4 linked regions of the Drosophila melanogaster genome follow. The protein of the gene in region 1 interacts with the protein of each later gene in a pairwise test. Each region holds a gene or a part of one and is shown on either strand. Other genes may lie near its edges.

Region 1 (5,178 bases):
ATTTATTTATAGTGGTCCGGCAAAAGAACTCGGGCCAACAGGCAGGATAGTTTAGCCTGCGGGTAAATTATGGTTCCATTGCCAATTAGGTTAGGTCACAACCAGGATGTCCCATTGGGGATATATGTATGTATGTATGTAGATGGATGCACAGGGAGTACACCTAATACCAGTGCAGGGCTGCCAGGAAAATGTCATTGTTTGGATTTAGAATGTGACATTTACATACGTACGTAATATAAATATATAAATAATATCATTCTCTGAAAAATATCATAATGCACTCTTGTAAATTTAAAACAAATTTAATTTTAAGATAATTGGTTGAGATAAACATAGTTAATATTTTCAATTGATCCTTTAAATTTTAAATTGCAGGTGAATATCATCCCTGTGTGACCGTTGTATGCGGCATGGTTCCATGTCTCTTTCCCGTTATTCATTTCCCTCTGCTTTGTTTTTTTTTTTTTTGGTTTTGTTATGCGGTGGCATCTGTTTTTGCCACAGGAAAATGGTTGAGAGAGGGGAAGGCAGGGGGCGAAAGCGGAGAGTGCGTAAAATGCGTTTTAATTGAAAGGAAATGTTCAAAGCACATGTGCATCTGCTAGTCAACGAATTGGTTGGGAAAGGGGGTGGCAAGCCGAATGTGTCTGCTAATTGAATTACCTTTCGGTTGCTTTTCCCATTAGAAGTGCCGACAAGTTCTCGAGCTGCTTGTTTGCTTTTCATTTAATACCCATTTTGATTTAATTTTCGTTTTTCCTATTTTTCTGACCCAATTTTGTTTTGCTTTCGTGCATTAGCAGCTGTCTCTGTCTATCGCTGTGCAGCCAAGAGAGTGACCAAGAGAAACGCTCTCTCTCTCTCTCTCAGTTGTCCAGGACTTGCACTTTTCAAACGGTTTTTTAGGACACTGAAACAAATTGAATCTGTTTTTCTTTTCTATCAAATTTTTAGTTCTACACTTTTCTTTTTCATGATAGTTTCGGAATCAACCAATTTCTATTTGATCCAAATTAACAAAAAACAAATAACAAAAAATTAAAAAATATAGAAATAAAAGCTGCATAAAAAGTTGAATTCTAAATCATAAATATCATTTTTCCCTATTTGTCTTTCAGGCTTCCAAGATGGGTTCTGGTGATGCAGAGAACGGCAAGAAGATATTTGTGCAGAAGTGCGCCCAGTGCCACACCTACGAAGTGGGCGGCAAACACAAGGTGGGCCCAAATCTTGGCGGGGTCGTGGGTCGCAAGTGTGGCACAGCAGCGGGATACAAGTATACCGATGCCAATATAAAGAAGGGCGTTACCTGGACAGAGGGGAATTTGGACGAGTACCTCAAGGACCCGAAGAAATACATTCCCGGAACAAAGATGGTGTTCGCAGGTCTTAAAAAGGCTGAGGAGCGGGCCGATTTGATTGCCTTCCTCAAGTCAAACAAGTAGAATCGCCTGCGAAACAACAAGATCGGCCACCATGCTATCCAGAAAACTGCGCTTAAAGACTACAAACATATTCAAAAGATGACGTATTTCACTTGGATTTCGAAACTTTGATTGGGAATGGTCGAGCTCAAATACATTTCAAAAAGGTTTACTTTCACTTTAGCCAATTAAAGTTGATAAACCAAAAACCCTCTTCTTAATTCAAGTTGTGTGCGACGCGGGTGGAGGAAAGTGTTGTACCAATCAGCTTTGGTCACAGTTGGTTTTATGGTCCTACTAGCAAAATGTAATAAATTGGAGAAGCTTGTTAAATAATGCAAATTTTCCAGAGGCTTTCCAATATAGTCCCGTTAATAGGGGAAAAAATTACTTATACGCCGTGTGGTGGATAAATACGGGTACAAAAGCTTGCGACATTTTTTAATGCGTGGCCCCCGGTCACTCTGGTCACACTAATTACCTATCGACATAACGCGCGCTCGTCATTCGTGAAAAATCGGCGACGCTCGACGTTTGTGTTCAATGTAAGTAGTGGGTGGAATTTTTGTATTTTCAAGTGACGTAAATATTACCTTGAATAGTTATTGATTATCAAGCCCCAAGTCAGATAAAGATTAGAAACACTTCCGTGTCATTTACGTAACATCCAGCAGCTGTGTTTTGTTCTGAAAATGATTCGCATGCAAATTTAACGTATTCTTTGGGGGATGATTCAGGTTACATAAACGTGTCCTTGTGTGTGTGTGTATAAGTGTGATTTTTTATTAGATATTTAATAGTTTATTTAGCAAATATTAGCAGTGGTGTATTAATAGTAAAAATAGCATCCCAAAGTCACATTGCCATTGAAAAAAGCCCCGGAGAGAGTCGATTACATGAGCAAAGAGAGTGGCGTACCCGATCATCAGCTGTCTCGCTCGCTCAGTGGCAAAAATTAATTCTTGGATTTTTTGTCAATGCTTCAGCTTTGGAGTCTTTAAGCGCGCCACGTGGTTGCTAAGCAGGTTTTGCTTTCTGCGATGTGCAGTTTTCTATAATATAAATAAAAGAGAATTCACCTCTGCGAAAAGGCGGCTTATGTAACATTCGCTGCTCTCAGGAAACTTGGATGTTGGCCCAATTTTCACTCATCTCTTTGTTCTCACCACCTTGCTCACCCACACAAGGAAAAACACAGCTGCCTTTGGCCTGCTTCCAATTTTCCAATTGCACTTTCCCTTCATCTCACGCACACTCACGCACGGCAATTAACTGAAAAATACTCAACAAGGCCAAATCGGATGTTGACATTGTTGTTGCTTTGCCACCTCTCACTGCCAAAGTGCATGATACTCTACACAGAAAGAAGTGAAAAAAAGGTTGATATTAAATGCAAATTATGTGTAAAAGCGCACAAAATCAATAGTCTATATATATTAGGTTTGTTTTTATAGACAAATGCATATAAAATAAAATTAGTTTTCTAGAATTGAAAGAGCTTCAGCTAATCGAATTTCTCTCAGTCTATGTGCGTGATGTGTAGGTGAATTACTCACCGCAACGGTACTTTGCACTCTCAAGTTCAAATTGCTGCATGCAATTTATAATCCGGCAATTAGCAGGATGACCGTAACACAGACCCTGGAATAATAGAATAGTTATGTAAACAACTAACGTTTTTCGTATTATGATGCTTCCTGGAAGTTTTCCGCCTGTTGCTGAGCAGTTCTGACGCAATTAATCGGCGACTGGCAAATATAAGCGAGTGAGACACAAAGAGAGTGTGAGAAGGAGAGAAAGAGTGTGGGGGCAACATGTGACCAGCGTCTGAAGCTTTTTCAAAGTGTGTTTCTGATGACGTTGCGACGCCCTCCACGCGCGTATTAGTGAGAGCAAAGTATGTGGGTTAAAAAGGGGGTGGCCGCAAATGGAAATGCAGACTACGTTAGATAATAATTTCGGGCCTTATCAGAAACAACAGCCGACTAATGCACTTAGCATGAGCAATTTTAATAATTCCGTTTCCGCAGGGAGCTTATCAATTGTTTACATAACGGGGCAAGGGGACAAATATTAATTCACGGTCCATAACTACCTACATTAACCCATTATTTCCCAAGCATGGAAATTTTTGATGATATAAAGACGTTATTATTTTAATACCTTAAAAATATATAATATTATATAAGTAACGTTGGGAAATCAACTGGTTAATAAATTTTAAATTTCGGGTTTATTTATTCAATAATCTTTTGATAATGTATGGCTGAAAGTGAAGCTTTTATCAGTATCTACACAATGGTTCATTGGGGCTAATAATAAATGGTATCAAATATCGTATAACTATTTTTTGCAGTGAAACCAGAATTTCGGACTAAGTACATAAGCAAATGATATAAAATATATATTGTAATCAATTTATCAGAATAGAACAAATTAATTGGTAGCAGTTATGAACTTTGAACCATTTAGTAGCCAGTTTTTTAAGTTTTTCAAACCTAAGATGTAAGATAACAGATATATTGGTTACCCTTGTTTTATGAACCACTCATTAATAACAAACATTTCTTTTTACAGTCGAGTCCGTGTTAACACATTAATTAACCACATAATCCATAATGGGCGTTCCTGCTGGTGATGTTGAGAAGGGAAAGAAGCTGTTCGTGCAGCGCTGCGCCCAGTGCCACACCGTTGAGGCTGGTGGCAAGCACAAGGTTGGACCCAATCTGCATGGTCTGATCGGTCGCAAGACCGGACAGGCGGCCGGATTCGCGTACACGGACGCCAACAAGGCCAAGGGCATCACCTGGAACGAGGACACCCTGTTCGAGTACCTGGAGAACCCCAAGAAGTACATCCCCGGCACCAAGATGATCTTCGCCGGTCTGAAGAAGCCCAACGAGCGCGGCGATCTGATCGCCTACCTGAAGTCGGCGACCAAGTAATGGTGCTGTCCATCAACTTACCCACAACCACTGCAGGATGTCAAACTGTATTATTGTGTTCAGTCACAGTCCGGCACGCAAATGCAGCAGCAGCAACAACTACAACTACAAATCAACATAGTACAGACCTAAAGAACTACAATTATGTTAATTATAAAGTTTAAATAGGACAATTTATTATTTAATTTAAATAAAAAGTGGAATATTTAATTCAAACCCGATGAGAATTGTGACATCCACAAAAAAGTTAAATAATAAAAAAAGAACTAAAAAATGATATAAAATCTGTTTTATGCGAGGACCTGGTTTTTGTAGCTCGCAGGTCAAAAAGAATAAAAAAAGCTTCTTCAGATTTTTGACTCGGGCAACTCAAATTAAAAATAAGAGATACCAATCATATTTATAAAACAATTGTCCTGGCAATTTCTATCAATAGGTATCTGTTAGTCGTCAAACTCGACTGCAGCATACTCTTTGCGTCTGTCAAAAATGTTGTTGGCTGATCTATATAGGCCTTACTCATCTGAGTCGCACAAAGATGACCACAAATCATCCTGGGTTGCTGCAAATTCCTTAGTTCATTGCGTGGAGGTAGACATCACTAAAAACATCCAACAAAGAAAGAGTCGATACGTTACGCAGAAACATCACAATAAGATTGTATTACTGAGAGAGAAAGTAGAAAACTATTAGGGTCGAAATGCTCTCTTAATGCACATTCTATTTGGCCAATCGTTAAACAAGAATACACTGGTATTTTTATATTTTTTGGCTAATTTATGTATATTTTCTTTTACACTCCCAAA
Region 2 (7,748 bases), on another chromosome or scaffold:
GGTGGTGTTGCTGTTTTCTTGCCGCTTGTTAGACGTTGGCTTTGGCGATTTGTTTGCATGCCATTTCTTGCTCTGCTTTCGTTTTTTATCATCCCGCCTGCGTTTCCCGCCTCCGTTTTTAATGCAAAATCAATCGGATTGCGCCCAGCCGAGCATTCTAAACTAAAAACTGTTCGCGTGGAATAAGGCGAAGGTTGCGGATTGAGGTTGCTTATTAAACCGCTTGTTGCGTTCAATTACAATTTTTGATTTTATTGATACGAGTACTTGACACGAACATTTACAGGGATATGCACTGGCTTAGCTCTAAAACATTTAAACGTTAAAATTATTGTTATCCGTTTTGCTTAAAATGTTATTTTCTCTGTACTGAGAGCGTGATATTTTTGTCAACCTTTTTAACTCAAAAACACCTAAAGTAAGTGTGCTTTTCATAGCATATCAAAGAAAGATTCTAGCCATCTTTTTAGGTGGTTGAGATTCAATGAAATAACTGAAAACTAAACTAGTTTCTTATTCTGCAGTAATAACACATGAATTCACCAATCTCAACCTATCTTAATCATAGTTAAAGCACGATTGTGGTTTAGGTTTCGGTTTGCAGCCATACAACTAATGTGAACTGCTTGTTAGGCTCACACATAACCACTGGACTCCAGTTTGATGGCACCCTCGTATGTGGGCAGCCCCGATCTATCGATGATTTTGCTCATGTCCAGGCTGATGATTCCATTCTCGTTGATGTTGTCCAAGTTCTGCTCCTCTTGCTCCTTCTGCTGGCCTGTGGCCAGCTCATCCTCCCCCGATTGCCCGTGGGATGTTGCTGGTGCGTCGGAAGTTGATGGTGTGTCCGATGTTGCTGCGTTGTCGTTTTCATCGTTGGCAGCAGTTATGGAAAAGAGCACGGCATCATTTTGAGGTTGCTCATCGAGAGTGGCGGCCAGAAAATTGCCGTTGGCCTCATCCTGCAGATCGTCACCAGAAATGTGGTTGCCATTGCCATTGTCGATGTCGCTGGGGCAGGGGCAGATAGACGGCTCATCCTCCTCCCTGCGCCCGCCCATGTTCAGACCGCTCTCCACGGACAGAGCGGTCAGTGGTTCATCATCGACCTCACCTTCATAGCGGAACTTGCCGCACAGCGGACAGCCACGCCGGTAGTGGTTTGCACTATGCTGATGGCTTTGCTGCAGGTACCGCCGTCCGAAGGTGTTCAATCTGACATTCTGTGCCGGCTTACGTACCTGCAGCGTCTCCATTTCCAGGCAATTTCCGTTCCGGGCAGCCACCGCCGCCGCAGCAGCATTCCACATGCTTTCCACCTCGGCCCGCTGCAGCGAGCAGCAGGATTGGGCATTTAGGGCCAGTTGCAACTGCTTGTTGACCAGCAGGCCATTGGAACCTCCTGGTGCGCACTGCACACTGCCACTGGCCACCGCATCCACACTGCCATCTGGTGTGCCGCGACCGAAGCTCGTTGCCGGCTGGCCGCTGATGTCCAACGAGGATCGGTATCCTGGCGGCGGCGAGACGCGTTGCATCAGCAGCTGTTGCTGTTGCTGCAGTTGCAGCTGTAATTGCTGTTGCTGCTGTTGCTCCAGCTGCTGCTGGTGGAGCTGCTGTTCGTGCAGCACCACTGCATCGTACGAGGGCGGTGGTTCGTGGTGCAAGGCGGGCACGGCGGACAGACCATCAGTGGAGTCGCCTAGGAACAGGCCAGAAGTCTCGTAGCACTGAGGGATTAAACGAACAATTAAAATCGATTAGCAGGAGGATAAAAGAGGAATTTGCAAAGATTGTAAGGTTTGATTTTCTAAAAGCAATGTAATTTTTCCCTGATGTGGAGCTGGTATATAACTCTCAAGGTCGTGACTAATTGCCGATCTCCGCTTGGTCGCTCTGTAAATTACTTTCTTAATGGAGACGCGGTGGACAAGTGAAATTTACGCGATCAAATAAAAAGTTTAAATTGCACACATCATAAATTTATTTGTCTCTGCCGCGCAATCTGCAATCCCATTCTCATTCCTATTGCCACTCCCATGCTCCCGTGCTAGAAACCCGCCTTCTTCTGTCCGCAGTTGACATCTGTGCCTGGCCAGACTAACGTTGATTTACGTGGAGCCTTTTGCCGCCACTTTCCCCCCACCCCCCTTTCCCAGCGGGCCAACAAACAACAATGAACTGAATGATGGCCTATGGTGGGGCTGGTGGGTGGTTGGATGGTTGTTTGGTTGGTTTGCGGGTTGGTCGGTGGATTGTGGGCCGAATGGGAAGGCGGCTCGTAACCTAATAAAGAGCACGGCCAAGTGAGTGCGACTTCTGGGCCACTTGCACTGGCTTGGCTGGCTGTATGGCCAGCCGCAATTGTCGCGCCCTTTTGGTCAACTGAACCCACTTTCCCCCGGATGTGGCACCTGTTAAATGCGGCGCATAAATATCCATTACACTCCTGCTGCTCCATCCTCTCCCGCACTTTCAGTTTTCGACTTACTTTCAAACTGTCGCCACGAAATGTTGGCTTACACTTGAAAAGGGACAATTATGGCCGGATTGTGTGTTGTTCTAGCGCCCAAATGCCTAAAACATCAGAATGGTGGATATTATTATTATTATTATTGTGATTTCGGCCACCAATTGGAAAACTGGGCTGATTTGATTGAAGCTGAAAGCTGAAATCGAAAAAACTAAATTGTTTGCTTGGAAAGTTTGTTGTGTAGTTTGCTTAATATCATATATGTATATATTTGCACTCTTTTCAGCCAGCACTTAAACTTAATAGTCGCTAATTGATTTTTAGCATTTGATCGCTTTGAAATTGTATTCGTATTGACAAAAGCAAATTGACAAGCCAATCACTGATAAATTGCCATTCATTTAGGTATTTAGCATGCTTTGAATCTGGTTAATGTAAGCCTAGGACTTGTATAACTTTATTTATTTAAGAGCCAGACTTACTCTCCCATTTTTCACACACGTTTGGAATGTGTGCTACTTATTTGAACCACCAAAGAGAAGTAAATAGCACATACTGCCATTACTGGATATGATTAATAAAATTCTGGTTTCCCCCGAATAAGCAATGATGTCCGTCGTCCACTTCCATTGTGGCCCAACTATCATCCACTTGGAATGCCGTTGACATCCGTTTGCAACTATGGCTGGGTGGACAACAAAGCTCTCTGCCAGAACCCCGGGCATCATGGACCATCTATGCATAGGCTTTGAGCATATACTCGTATTAGCTCCTCCAACTCACCTGCTCCACGCTGTATATTTCCATGTTGGGATCGCCCTCGAGCCACTGATGCTGCTGCTGCCTGTAGGCGGCCTCCGTTCGCTTTTTGATGTTGCGATGGCAACAATAGCAGACCACACACAATATAGTCGTCACCAGGGAAAGCATTGCTCTGCAACAAATTAAATCGAACGGGGATGTGAATGCAATGCTATTCATTGAATGTTATAATGTTATTCCAACGACGAAACAGACATCAGGCCAACATTCAAACATATTTATTTGCTTTGGCTGGTGACACGAAATTGATTGCGGGCCTTCGATAAATGACCAGTGCGATAATAACGTATTAATACGCATTCGGTATTTATTAATTTTGCCATACAAATTGCTAGTGCTTGTATGTTTATTTATATTGGGTTGGCTTTGCCAGCATTTTGATAGCATAAATTTGCCACGAAATATTGACATTTATACATCATGGTAGCGGAAATTACTCTTCTTGCCTTCTCGGTTTTAATTAGATAATGCAGTTTTGGCTTTTAATTCGACTCCCAACTCATCTTGCAGCCAAACAAAGGGCAATTTCAATGCTCGCAAGTATGAAATGTAGAGCATATTGCCAATTATCTCGATTTAACTAAGCTGCCACAAACACACACACACACACACACACATTTCAAATCGGCTTGGAGAATGTGTGTGTTAGCCTAATAATATTCCACATTTCGCCTTTTGTCTAAAGAGCTAATATTATGGATTTATCAAATTTTAATTGTCTGTCGTTAGGTGGCTTAGAATAGTCAGATTATGTCAAGTGCTTTTGTTTATTAAACAAACACAATATGCCTTGAAATTTGGTCAACAAATTCCCCATAGCTGGTATCAGTGAATTCGGAAAGGTGTAGCTCTATCTGTTCCTTAATTCGTCAATAAATCCGAAATGACCCCACCACTATCAACTGGATTGCCAGTTATCAAATTTTCCTTTTAGCGCTGTCGGCCAATTTATGTCGGTTTATTGAAACCCACTGGTTTATTTGGTCGGAAATGGTTTCGTGTCGTGTCGATTTCGTAGCTCCAGGCATTTCCATGACGTCACTTAATCCACTTTAGAATGCAACATTGTGTCCCACTTGTCTGTTCACTGTCTTCCACTGGCCCACGTACGTCCTCCGATTTTTCTCTCGCTCGTTTTTTTTGTTTTTTTTTTTTGGCTGTTCATTTTTCCCGGTTCACGCAATTTCTCGCATGTCAACAGTTCATTAGGGCCCTTTTTTTTGGGGGGCTCAGCTTTTCCGGCCTTCCCATTCCGCAGCGACGAAAACAGACAACAGCGATTTCCCCCACTCCGGTTTTTTATTTTAGCTATTTTCAATGAACTGCCCAAGACAATCGATAAAAAAGTAGTTAAAATAAATTTTTTTTTTGGCTTGTGTGGGTCGCGCGTGATGTTTGCAGACACTAAGAAAACCCCATAAAAGCGTGTTTACAAAACCTCTTTGTTGCTCTGCGGTTACTCCGAAAAAATAGAATAGCTCGTGTTGCACATGAAAGTTTTTTTTTTTTTTTACATTTTATTAACAAGCAAAGCCAGTGCTAGGATGCTAGGGTTTCGACGAAGCAAAACCGAAAGTAAAAAAATGCCCCGGCACAATTATAATTATGATTTTCAGCGCAGAAGAGCGGAAGCCTGACATCTTCTCTTGCTGTTGATGCTTATTAATTCGCAGCTCCTTCCCATAAATCAAGTGGTGCCAGGCATTATGATCTATGGTAGTATCTTGTAATATGCTTCTTGAGTGTTCTTACCAAAGGGGTACTTGCTGCAAACATTTCACTGGAATTTTCAAGATGCTCCTTGTTGTCGAACGAAAACTTAGTGGTTAGCTCTGATTATTGAATGGCAAACTAACTTGTGGCAGTAAACTATTAGCTGGAATGACAGCCACATTTCGTATGAATTATCTATATGAAATGATTGCGGTATCCTTTAAAAATACTGAAGAGAGCTTCTTTAAAATGTAAATACTTGAACAATTCCGCTCTCGTTAGCTGCGAAGCCAATTGTTTTGGGCGAACTTTCTTGGCAACTCTAATTAATTAATTGCCAAATGACTGAGGGGAATGCTCAGCTATTTGCCAAAACTTCCAGACACTCTTTCGCATTTCCCACGGGCCAAAAGGTGACTTAACTTATCGCTTGAACTTCGCATCAGTCGTATGTTCCAACTGGCAGGACAGACTTACCCGCCGAGCAGCAGATTCACATTGCCGTTGACAACATTTGCATATGTCTGGGGTCCACTAGGTCCTCCGCCGCCACCGACGCCCGAGATGACGGATCCGGAGCCACTGCGCTGCTGGTGATATTGCCCCAATCCGCCGGTGTAGTAGGTGGTGTGTGTGACAATCGAGGAGGAGGATGAGACATGCTCCTGGGACTGCAGCTGTTCCTCGCTGACGAAACTTCCAAACGCTGACGAAGATGATGATGGCGGCAATGGTGGTTCCGTTGTGGAAACCAGCGATATTGTTGTGGCCGGGATTGTGTGATTCTGATTCTGATTTTGACCAAAGGCCAGCAGAGTTGCATAACGTTTGAGAGACATTTCACTGCGAGTGGAAATCGAGCCACGGCGATTGCATAACGATTAGCGCGGCGCACTCATTACATGGCCATTAGCACGCACACTTCAGCCCCGAAGGAGGCGCATCTAGCCTGGCTAACAGCGAATACCTCGGCTCTAGACCGCAGCAAGGACGAAAGGCGACTGCCAGGAGCTAGCCCTCGCAAATCGACGAGCCGAAGGCTACGGCGACTTCAGCACGACAGCAGCACCGAGTCAAACATAAAACTTTGGACTAAAACTAACACAAACACTAAACGAAACACAAGTTTAATACTTTTTTATAAAAGTTTCCTTGACTTGTCATATGTTTAAATATTTATTTTCGAATTTCATACAAATTTATGGATTAAGTAAGTTTGAGGATATATTTCATTAATATCTTCTTAAAGTTTATTTATTTTCTTTTAATAGTTTTCACAGTTGAAATTAAATTTGCGTCACCTTTATCTATCATATGTTATTATTTATGTAGTATTATGTACATATATATATTATTTTAATGCACTATAATCATGAACTTGCAAAGAGGTTTGGAATTCGATACGATTTTTTCCTTTCTAAGGAATTAACACTTTTTCATAGCCACATTGTTTGCATAACTCAATGCATTTAAAACTTTAAGCCATTATAGCCTTTTTTTTTTCTGAGTGTAACTGGTAGAACGATCGATGGCCAAGGCAAGTCTATTTCCGTAACTCTTAGTTTTGGCCGCGAACCGCGAGTTGTGCGTCTGGGCAAATGCGTTGCGCTGCTGCAACTGAGCTCCGGCTTGACTTGCTGACTAGTTTACTGGCTGGCTGGCTGGTCGTCCTGTCCCGAGGACTTTGGCTTGGCTTATCCTTTTGTTGTGAACCCGACGAAGTTGCCTTGGCAACCGAACGGGCCAGCCTTCGGCTTGGACTCAGCACTTCGGCTGTTTAGCTGCTGATGTCTGTGGTTACTTCTGCTCGCTGCTGCTCGCCTGTTCCACGTTGCGTTGCCCATTTTTCTGTGGCTTTCCCTCTCCGGTTTTTCGGGTTTGGGGTGTTCGGTCCGCCGGCACTGGTGGGTGGCAAAAGGATATGTCGACGACAAAGGACAGGCAGAGCTATTTGTATTGAGTTTCCCCGTACCCAAGTTCTCCTTCGGTTTCCACACGTTTCACGTCAAATTGAGCGCCAAATGCTTTTGTATGCCCGTATGGTTTGTCATTATTGCTGCTGCTGCTGCTGCTGTTGTTGTGGCAACCGTGCATGCCATTTGAACAACACTTGTCGCCAACTGACATTTTTCACGGCATGCGGCCATAAATAATAATGCGACTCAGAAGCAACAGTCCATGCCGCGCATATTGAGCATGCAACATGCTGCTTCGCGGCACACGCTGCGTATGCGTGATGCAGCAAAAAAAAAAAAATGCAAGCCACTTATGTTGCCGAAGGGAATTCAACTGTTGCATTTATATGCACTTTTAAGAAACGAATTGGTTGAGAAATGTTAAGATATGGGTTAAGAAGTGTGTATCATTAAATGTAAAAATTCTACGTTTAGTAGAATCTTAAAGATAAAGGTGAACGCATGAATGCCACTTAGCATAATATATCGTTGAAAACACAATGCAACCACAATCGTTCTTGATGTGCCCCATATATTAGACATCTCACCATATGCAAACAGCTCGCCAAAAATCCGCCACAATATTGTTGCTAAATGTTGAACCAATTTCCGCATAAATGCCTATGAAATGTATAACATTTGCATATCGGCCACATTTTAAAGCAACCGAATGCAATCATCATCATAATTGCCAGCCGTTAGCAGCTAATTGAAATGCACGAATTATTTTGGCAAATTTACTTTTAATTTATGGCGCACTCGCATCGTGCAAACATTCAAAT
Region 3 (4,773 bases), on another chromosome or scaffold:
ATTCTGTTGAAAAGTTATCTGAAAGATTAGATATAAATGATGAAATATTTTGACGGCATGCGTTTTATACTTATTAAGGTTAAACTTCAGACGCCTGACTCATAACAAACGAAACAAAGAACAAACTACAACAATGTTTCGCCTAGAGCCTTTAAAAATATTTAAGAAGCCATTTTCCATGCTTCTACTGAACTGACCCAAACAACACGAGTGTAACCTCTTTGTAAAATGATCTAGTACTACGCCACAGTTAAGAACAAATTAAGTCCTTTCCTGAGCAGTGCATTGTTTGTTTACTCGTCTGTCGTCGTGCACAGTATGTGTGTATGTATGTTTATATATTTTTGGCTGTGTGTTCAGCTGTCTCCGTTATAAATACACCAAGTTGCACGGCGTGAGCAATTGATCTACTCTTATCACAAGACAATTTGGCACGGCCACCGGCAGCTGGGAACACAAATAACAATTTGTTTATTTTAGACAATATTACTTCGTGGGGATTTCTGCGCATGCACGTTGTTTCGATATAAATGTAAAAAAAAGTGCGACCAACCGGCGAGACGAAAGAAAACCGACTGACATTGAGAGGCCAAGAAATAAGCAGTGGTGACGTAAAGAAAGATAATCCCGCTTCCGTCACAGGACGGATAAAAAAGCATGGTAAAAAAAAACAGTCTTACCATTTGGCACTCAATTAGAGGGTGACCCCAAAAGTATGCTACCATATGCTGCAACTATACTTTTTTAAATCTACTTCGGCAGCGCAATAAATAAATGATGACCCAATGGGTAATCTTATTATTATTGTTGTCTAGAGTCTAGCACATTATGTCAGCATCAACCATTTTGGACCCTTGCGGTGAAATCATTGACAGTAGCTTTTGATGCCCTGGTTTGGATATCCATGTGACCGCACAATATAAAAGCGGCACATGACGCCAAAATAAGTGACGACACTACTAACGGCAAACGAAGGCGAAACACAAGTTGATCGAATAGAATGTACCCTAGCTGAAATGAAAGTTAATCATATATTTTAGAAGCATTGGAACATCATAGAGTATAGAAGTAAGTCTCTTATACTCAAGAAATTCATTATTTTAAGATCAACCAATTCTTTTAACCAATTTATAGCTCATTATTTAATAGATTTTTTTAGGGCCTTCCTTTTTTGGAATAGGTCACATCATTAAGTGCCTTGCATACTAATTGTACACCTTGCATACAGTAGTAAATAGTAAATATTTATTCGCATAGCGATATGAAAATTATCATGCCCATAGAAAAAGCATTTTAGCAATAAAAGCTTGCTTATGGTTCTGATGACTAAGCAGCAGCTTTTGCCAACCTGAGTCATAGACCTCTTAAGCAAAACTAGGTGACAAAACTACCTTAGTTATACCGAAGCTTACATGCCCTTACCACGAGGTGAAAGTCCAGGGAACAAAAAGTTAAAAAGGAAATTACAATTATCTAATATTGTGCCCATGTACAAAATAGTTATATGTACATTTGTAAGTAAAGAAATTTTTTTTAAAGCTATGCCATTATGCTAGAAATTATCAGCCTTTAATTAAGATTTACATTTAAGAAAAATAATTGCCTTTAAAATAATTAAAGATAAGCCTTAGCATGTGCAGTATACCGCTATGTGAATAAGTTAGCTATTCGAGCTGGTACAGTTCGAATACTTTCTATATGGCCAACGATCTCCCACTTTGCAAGTGAGAGCGCCAAAGCTCTTGGAGCTTTTACTCTCTCACCGTCTCGGTTTTTTAGCATTGCTTACCTCGCCGGCATTTGGGCTCCATTGGGGCAGTTTGAATCAGAATCTCAGTAAGCGAACATCGTTGATTGAAACAGCAATCATGCCAATCGGTGAGTTTCCCAGTGGGTGTGGGTGGAGTGCCCTGAGCAGTTGGATAATGGAATGGATAATTGGGTGAATTTAAAGATAGGGAAATGTGCGGCGGAATTTTTGGCCCACGACCAAAATAGCATTGTGTCGTCCAATTCCTAGAATCGAAACATCCCATTCTTTATCTATGCTGGGTTTTTACCAGTGAAAAATACAAGCGACTTTCACCTTGTGATCGTCCAGATTCAATTAACGGCAATATGCTATACATATTGGACTGCCTTTATTTGGCCTAATTTATGACCCATCGAATTGATTCTCGACCAAAGGTGTCCGAAATTGTTCACCATATGCGATGAGTCACTGGTCTTCGCCTTGAACTCCGACAATAATCAATAGGAATTCAGCAGGGTTGACCCTAGGGAGGTCAGACGAAAGATGCACCTCCAATGATGTCATGCGAAATAATGCTGCTTGAGAAACCATTCGTGTAATCTATTCAAAGTGAATAGCACAAACCTCGCATATATCTGGGCAAATGTTTGTCGCTCGAGTGGCAGTAGAGCCGGCTCAGAGCTCAAAACTCGAAATTAAGCTTGAGTGGAATTAGCTAGAACAATTTGTTGCGAAGAACTGATGGCGATCTAAATGACATCATGCGAATGGTGCTAATAAGCAAGCGAAAACAAAAACAGACGCTAAACATGCTGATATATGTATGTTTATATGTACGTAGAAACCTAACAAACATAAAAATAGCTACGAATTCTTTCCAGTTCAAGTATTTTTTATGACAACATTCTCATGTTTGAGGTTGTTAATTCAAACCTCAAAACTTTCCCACCTTTCAAAGTAGTAGTGGGTACAGTTGGCTCAGAAAAACGTAGCCGAGTGTACAGTTGCCTCTGAGAATTTGTACTAATATGCCATCTCATTTGCAGAAGTCAACACCCCCGATAAGTTGGAGTACCAATTCTTCCCCGCCAGCGGTGGAGTTTTTACCTTCAAGGTGCGTTCCCCCAAGGATGCTCATTTGGCACTCACACCCGCGCCCGAGGAGAACGGTCCCATTTTCGAGATCTTTCTGGGAGGATGGGAGAACACCAAGTCGGTGATCCGCAAGGACCGCCAGAAGCCCGAAGTCGCTGAGGTGCCCACTCCGGGCATCCTAGATGCCGGAGAGTTCCGTGGCTTCTGGGTGCGCTGGTACGACAATGTCATCACCGTTGGCCGCGAAGGAGACGCCGCCGCCTTCCTTTCCTACGATGCTGGTAGCCTGTTCCCGGTCAACTTCGTCGGCATCTGCACGGGATGGGGTGCCAGCGGCACCTGGCTGATTGATGGTGAGTTTACACTCTGTTCCACGCCTTTTCTATCAAACGGAAAGCACAGGTGTTTACCCTCTCTGATTAGTTTACCCATCGTAATGATCTAAGTTAGCTATTGTTCTACAGCTGCTCAATGGCATCTATTGTCTAGTCAGCTGCTTCAGTTTGAATATCGAGTATTACTATACCCGCTACTCGTAGAGTTGGTACTATTGAGTACTGATCAATAACACTTAATTGCTCTCCAAGACTATATCCTTGCTATAAATATGTATTTGCCTATTATATATACATATATGTATAAGATTTGCTAATGATTTCATGAATTTCTAACAAATGCCACTATTTCCTTGCAGAGCCCGCTCCATCGGCTCCCGTCATGGGCTTCGCCGCGCCCACAGGAAGCGGACCAGGATGCTGGGTGCCCGCCGCCAACGGTGAGGTGCCACCCAACGCCCTCGAGGGAGGATTCGACAGCAGCGAGCAGCTGTACATCGCCCGTGCCCGCCATGAGGGCGACCTCATTCCCGGCAAGCTGCATCCCTCCCACGGAGTGACCTACGTAGCCTGGGGAGGTGGTGAGCACGGCCACGCCGAATACGAGGTGCTGTGCGCCGGCGGCGGCCAGTGGTTGCCCGTGGATGCCGGAAACATCCCGCCCAACGCCCTGCCTGCCGGAGAGACCGCCGAGGGCGAACCACTGTTCATCGGCCGTGCCACCCACGACGGAACTATCACTGTGGGCAAGGTGCAGCCCTCCCACGGATGCTGCTACATTCCGTACGGCGGCGAGGAGCTGGCCTACAAGGAGTTCGAAATCTATGTGACCAACTAAGCCACGGATCGAATGTCCAACGCACTGAAACAAAACGTTTTAAATCAGTTAATCTGAGCGCTTTACAGTTCAACTGGTCGCAGAAATTTTATTTTATTTATATGTGCATTTCTACTCAAAACTGTTAAAGAATCTCTATATTATGTCGAAAAGTTTATTACATTGTTCAACGAAATTGGTTAATAAACAATAAATATGTTTAAGAAAATAACATATCTGAAATAGGCACTTATTTGCATTCATTAAGCTTGGAAATAAATATAAAATAAGCTGAATAGCTGCTTTAATTTTTCAAAAAAGTGGTGTGTTAAGATTAGTTGGATTTTGGTTTTAGTGAATCTAACAGTTCTATCGCAATCATTAATCACCTTTTAATCCATTTGTACTCAATGAAATTAGTATCAAACATTCTTTTTTTTTAATAAAATCATGACTGAAATGAAATGACTGAAATCTATAGATTAGTTTAAGCAGGCAATTGAAAATAATTTACTCCCACTCAATGAAAATCTATTCCTAATCTCATTATCAGTGAACCCATAAAACACTCATACAAAGTTAGTTGAAATGTTGGCAGTACAAGGAACATATTGCTATATATATATATATTTATACCAAAACATGTTTTCTTTTATTCATTTTTAAAATGAATGAAACATATCATATTGGCCTATTTACATTTAAATTAAGGGTATAACTGAGTCGGTTTAGTCTATCAACTATATTAAAGTCAGTAACCAGCATGTGAAGTT
Region 4 (3,758 bases), 3.0 Mb from region 1:
GCTGCTTGCAGTCCATTAATTTTCATTTGATCAGAGATCTCGTTTTCAATTGCAGGCTAAAATCGTAATGGTCCCGAAAATTTATCTCAGCTGGGAAATTAAATTTTGTACAATTTGTAAAACTTTTCCAAATGGTGTCGCCAACTGCCGCGAACCGAGCACAGCCAAACTTTTACCATTTCCATTATAAGTTTTACTTGATGCACCCACCGCAAGCCCAACCAACCGCCCACCCACAGAAGGAGCAACCTCAATCCCAGCTTATGCGTTTATTTAATTTCGCTCCAACATTACGCATACGCCCGAGTGTTCACTGAGCTTCTATAATTGCCGCGTAATTGCCGAGAAGAATATCTGTCAGCTACAACGACAACTTTAAACTGTGAGTGTTGCTGCACTGAACCAATCGATGAGGGAAGTTTAACAAAACCTTAAAAATTTCAAAATTACATACGTTTCATAAAAACTCTTCGATAGTATTGGGAGCCCTCAGATTATTCATAAGGTCCGACATTAAAAAATAACACGACCATTTGTTTGTTTTCTATTTACGTAACTCGAATTGATAAAACATATTTATATTTTTCATTTTGACGACTTTTGAAGTACGATCGTGTAATTTAAGACAGTGAAGCAACATGACCATCATTCCAAAACAAAGGACGTGGAAAACGGGCAGCCAGTTGCGCTTTTGTGTTGTGTTACCAAAATGAATTTAGATGTGGAGGATACAAGCAGGATGTGGTGACCCATCATTGGCTTAAATAATCTCTTCGCCAAATATTACCTCATTCACACCGTCGACGAAGATCATGACCAGTCCGAGGATGGGGCGCAGATTCTCCGGCATGTGGGTGTTTTCGCCGCCCAGAACAACCACGCACGGTTTGCCAATGACCAGACCGGGCACCAATCGGGTGACATACCGACTCATGAGATGTTGGTTCTCGCGGCGATCGTCCAACGTCATCAGACCTTCGGGCCAGCGATCCTCGTGGCAACGTTCAACCAGCATATTGAGCATATGCATCGGACAGCCGCTTTCACGCAAAACGTCGCGCACCATCAGGTGCATGGGATTGTCCGGCGTGGAGATCAGACTGCCCCACGTATGGATGTTGGCCAGAGGGAGTCCATGGCCCCACTGCATCAGTGAGAAGCGGTCCAGTTGTTCGCCAATGTTGCGCAGCATGGGATTGGTCGATCGCAGTGCTGCGATATAGTACTGGAACAGCTCCATCTCTCGGCGCTGGCTGGAGCTCTGCTCCTCCATATCGGATTGCTTCTGCTTCAGATCGGAAACCTCCTTCGCCAGTTTCTCCACCAGCTCGCGCAGTTCGAACACACAGTTGTGGCGCGACATCTCGTCCTTGGGTACCTTTAGCGGGAATATTATAGCTATCTTAAGCAGTTCAAGTTATTCCCAGAATGTTCACCTTCATTCCGCACCCCTTGCTGCACTCGACAACCACCTTGGGATTATGCTCGCAGGCGGCGACATGGGTCCGGAACTCCTCGAGGGCCAGCATTTGGGCACAACCGCTTTGCGAGAAGGTGCACTTGATCTTTAGGCGGGATAGCATGTTGCGCATTAGGCGCGAAACGGGCACCAGATGTGAGGTCAGTAGCCCGGAGCGGTCCACCGGGCAAATCTGTTTCTGGATCATCCACTTGTCGATGCAGGCGCGACAGAAGGCGTGCTCGCATTCCGATGACTGGACCGGCTCCTCCAGGACATCTGTGCAAATTGGACAGATGAGCTCCTCGTCAACGTGGCCCACAATGCAGTTTAGATCAAAGCCCATGACGAAATGGTTTGATTTCTATACCGAAGTTTATGTCGCTGGAGAATCTGAGATGTTATTTTTTTTTGGCATGGAGCCACTCTCATCCACTTACCACTGAGTTCGATATGTACTTATACCTATATCCGAAACTCGATTTTTACAATATTTCGATCAAAAAGTTAGTTTTTACGTCGGCGCTGAGTTGTGTCCGAGCTGGCATCTGATTAAAAGCCAACTATGTGTATAGTTATGCATAGTTATATAAATAGTATATATAGTTTATTTTTGTAAATAAAAATCCTTTTCTTAAGCTAAGAAATACTAGGCCTTTCGATCATCTGTTATGCAAACAGCTCTCATTGAGCCTTCTACCATTTAGGACACTTCAATTTCAATTCAAGCGCAACTGAAACCAGCCAAACAACCAACAGAACACTGGGAGTCATCCATCCAAGTGGGCCAAGAGCAAGTGGGGTGGGGGCGAATGGGTCTGAGAAAACGTTTTCTTGAGGCACTTGCATATAGTGCGGTCGTAAAACCCTTTGCATATTTATAGTCCCAACTGCTGCGGAAGTTATGCAAATTGGAAAACTTATGGTACGACAACCCGGAATAATGCCAAACGTCCAGCCAACCTTCGGCGACCACGTTTTAACTTAGCCTGCACAGAGAAGCGATGCGAAGCGAAGCGAGGAGTTGAATTTTATTTATAAAGTGAAATTTTAACAAATTAACAGCAAATGCTGGGACATGGGCAAACAAATAAACTTTCCATCTTCAGCTCCACAATGGCCGAATTTCGAACAAACACTCATCAGACGACACACAGGCATGATTGTGACAACATATTGCCATGTCAAAATATTTACACTATATCAACTGCTCTATGCAAACTCGAATGTATATACATACGTGTGTATAATAGAATGGGCATTGTGTGACTGGAAATTCGGTTTTTAATTTCACTTGGAAGCGTCATTCGCTTGGATATTAAATTTCATGTTTTGCCTAAGAATGACATTTGCTTTTGTGTGCCTTTTTGTGCATTTTGTTTGTGACAACTTTACTGCATCGAATCCTTTTCGTTGGATTGCAATTTCAGTCTAGTGCTACCAAATGCTTATCTCCGAATGCAACTGTCAGTCTGACATTTTAGTTTACTTTAAATTCCTGCTCAAGCCTTTTCAGTTTGCCATAATATTCAAGACTCATTCTTTCATTTCGTTTTTATCTTGAAAAACAGTAATCGAAATGCTTGAATTGATGAGTTGAATAAATCACAATTGATATGCGATTCCCCACTCCGGCTGGTGTGAAATATTCTTTAATAAATCGCATTTTGTGCAAAATAATTAAGTCCGTGTGGGGTGTGGTGTTCGTTTTATCAATCCATTGGCTTTGCGACGTTCAATAGCAATATTTCACATTTCTGAGCTGATGGAGCGCATTAGAAAATAATCAACAATTTTCATTTGACTTGGCTCCGATAAAACCCATCATCCAGCAAACACAAAACGAACCACTCAAGCAGGAAAATTTAATAAGTTTGTACGTAAGCATATACACAGCTCGCCACAAAAATGTTTTTCCAACTGATCTGACCGCATTTGTGAAAATCAGCATTGATGATTCGAAGGCTCCTAGAGGATGCACACACTCTGATGAAAGATTTGGATAATAGCTTATGATGTTTTATATATTATAGAAGTGCCTTTTTTTTTGTTAATAAAATATATATGTACATTTGAGTGCTGTTTTTTTTAAGTGCAAGAAGATCATGTTTGGTTTTTCCGAGTGTATTTATGTACGAAACCCAACTAATAAGGTTAGCAACGTGTAAACAGTCATTACGTGAGTGGCTCTGTGTTAGCATGTAACGAGCCACAAATGCTTGCCACACAATGTTTATTTGCATTTATATTTGCTGTTCTTGCGCCGTTGTCATTTCATTGCAACATCAGTACGTGCCTC

The links.
Region 2: the proteins of Cyt-c-p (region 1) and s-cup interact in a two-hybrid assay, tested with the Drosophila melanogaster proteins (one large-scale study listed by BioGRID).
Region 3: the proteins of Cyt-c-p (region 1) and CG10527 interact in a two-hybrid assay, tested with the Drosophila melanogaster proteins (one large-scale study listed by BioGRID).
Region 4: the proteins of Cyt-c-p (region 1) and CG9014 interact in a two-hybrid assay, tested with the Drosophila melanogaster proteins (one large-scale study listed by BioGRID).

The regions. Positions count from the first base shown.
Region 1 is NT_033779.5:16,718,005-16,723,182, forward strand, and holds Cyt-c-p (cytochrome c proximal), read left to right. Parts: upstream 1-1,927; 5' UTR 1,928-1,972; intron 1,973-4,004; 5' UTR 4,005-4,045; coding exon 4,046-4,372; 3' UTR 4,373-4,640; downstream 4,641-5,178. Other genes in the region: Cyt-c-d (cytochrome c distal), read left to right, coding at 1,131-1,448. UniProt on the Drosophila melanogaster protein: Electron carrier protein. The oxidized form of the cytochrome c heme group can accept an electron from the heme group of the cytochrome c1 subunit of cytochrome reductase.
Region 2 is NT_033778.4:12,493,940-12,501,687, reverse strand, and holds s-cup (stanley-cup), read right to left. Parts: upstream 6,017-7,748; 5' UTR 5,851-6,016; coding exon 5,489-5,850; intron 3,411-5,488; coding exon 3,260-3,410; intron 1,734-3,259; coding exon 636-1,733; 3' UTR 229-635; downstream 1-228.
Region 3 is NT_033778.4:21,069,830-21,074,602, reverse strand, and holds CG10527 (uncharacterized protein), read left to right. Parts: upstream 1-1,813; 5' UTR 1,814-1,868; coding exon 1,869-1,878; intron 1,879-2,707; exon of another isoform or gene 2,708-2,799; coding exon 2,800-3,201; exon of another isoform or gene 3,202-3,542; coding exon 3,543-4,021; 3' UTR 4,022-4,235; downstream 4,236-4,773.
Region 4 is NT_033779.5:13,721,633-13,725,390, forward strand, and holds CG9014 (uncharacterized protein), read right to left. Parts: upstream 2,011-3,758; 5' UTR 1,900-2,010; intron 1,853-1,899; exon of another isoform or gene 1,844-1,852; 5' UTR 1,806-1,843; coding exon 1,437-1,805; intron 1,379-1,436; coding exon 761-1,378; 3' UTR 529-760; downstream 1-528.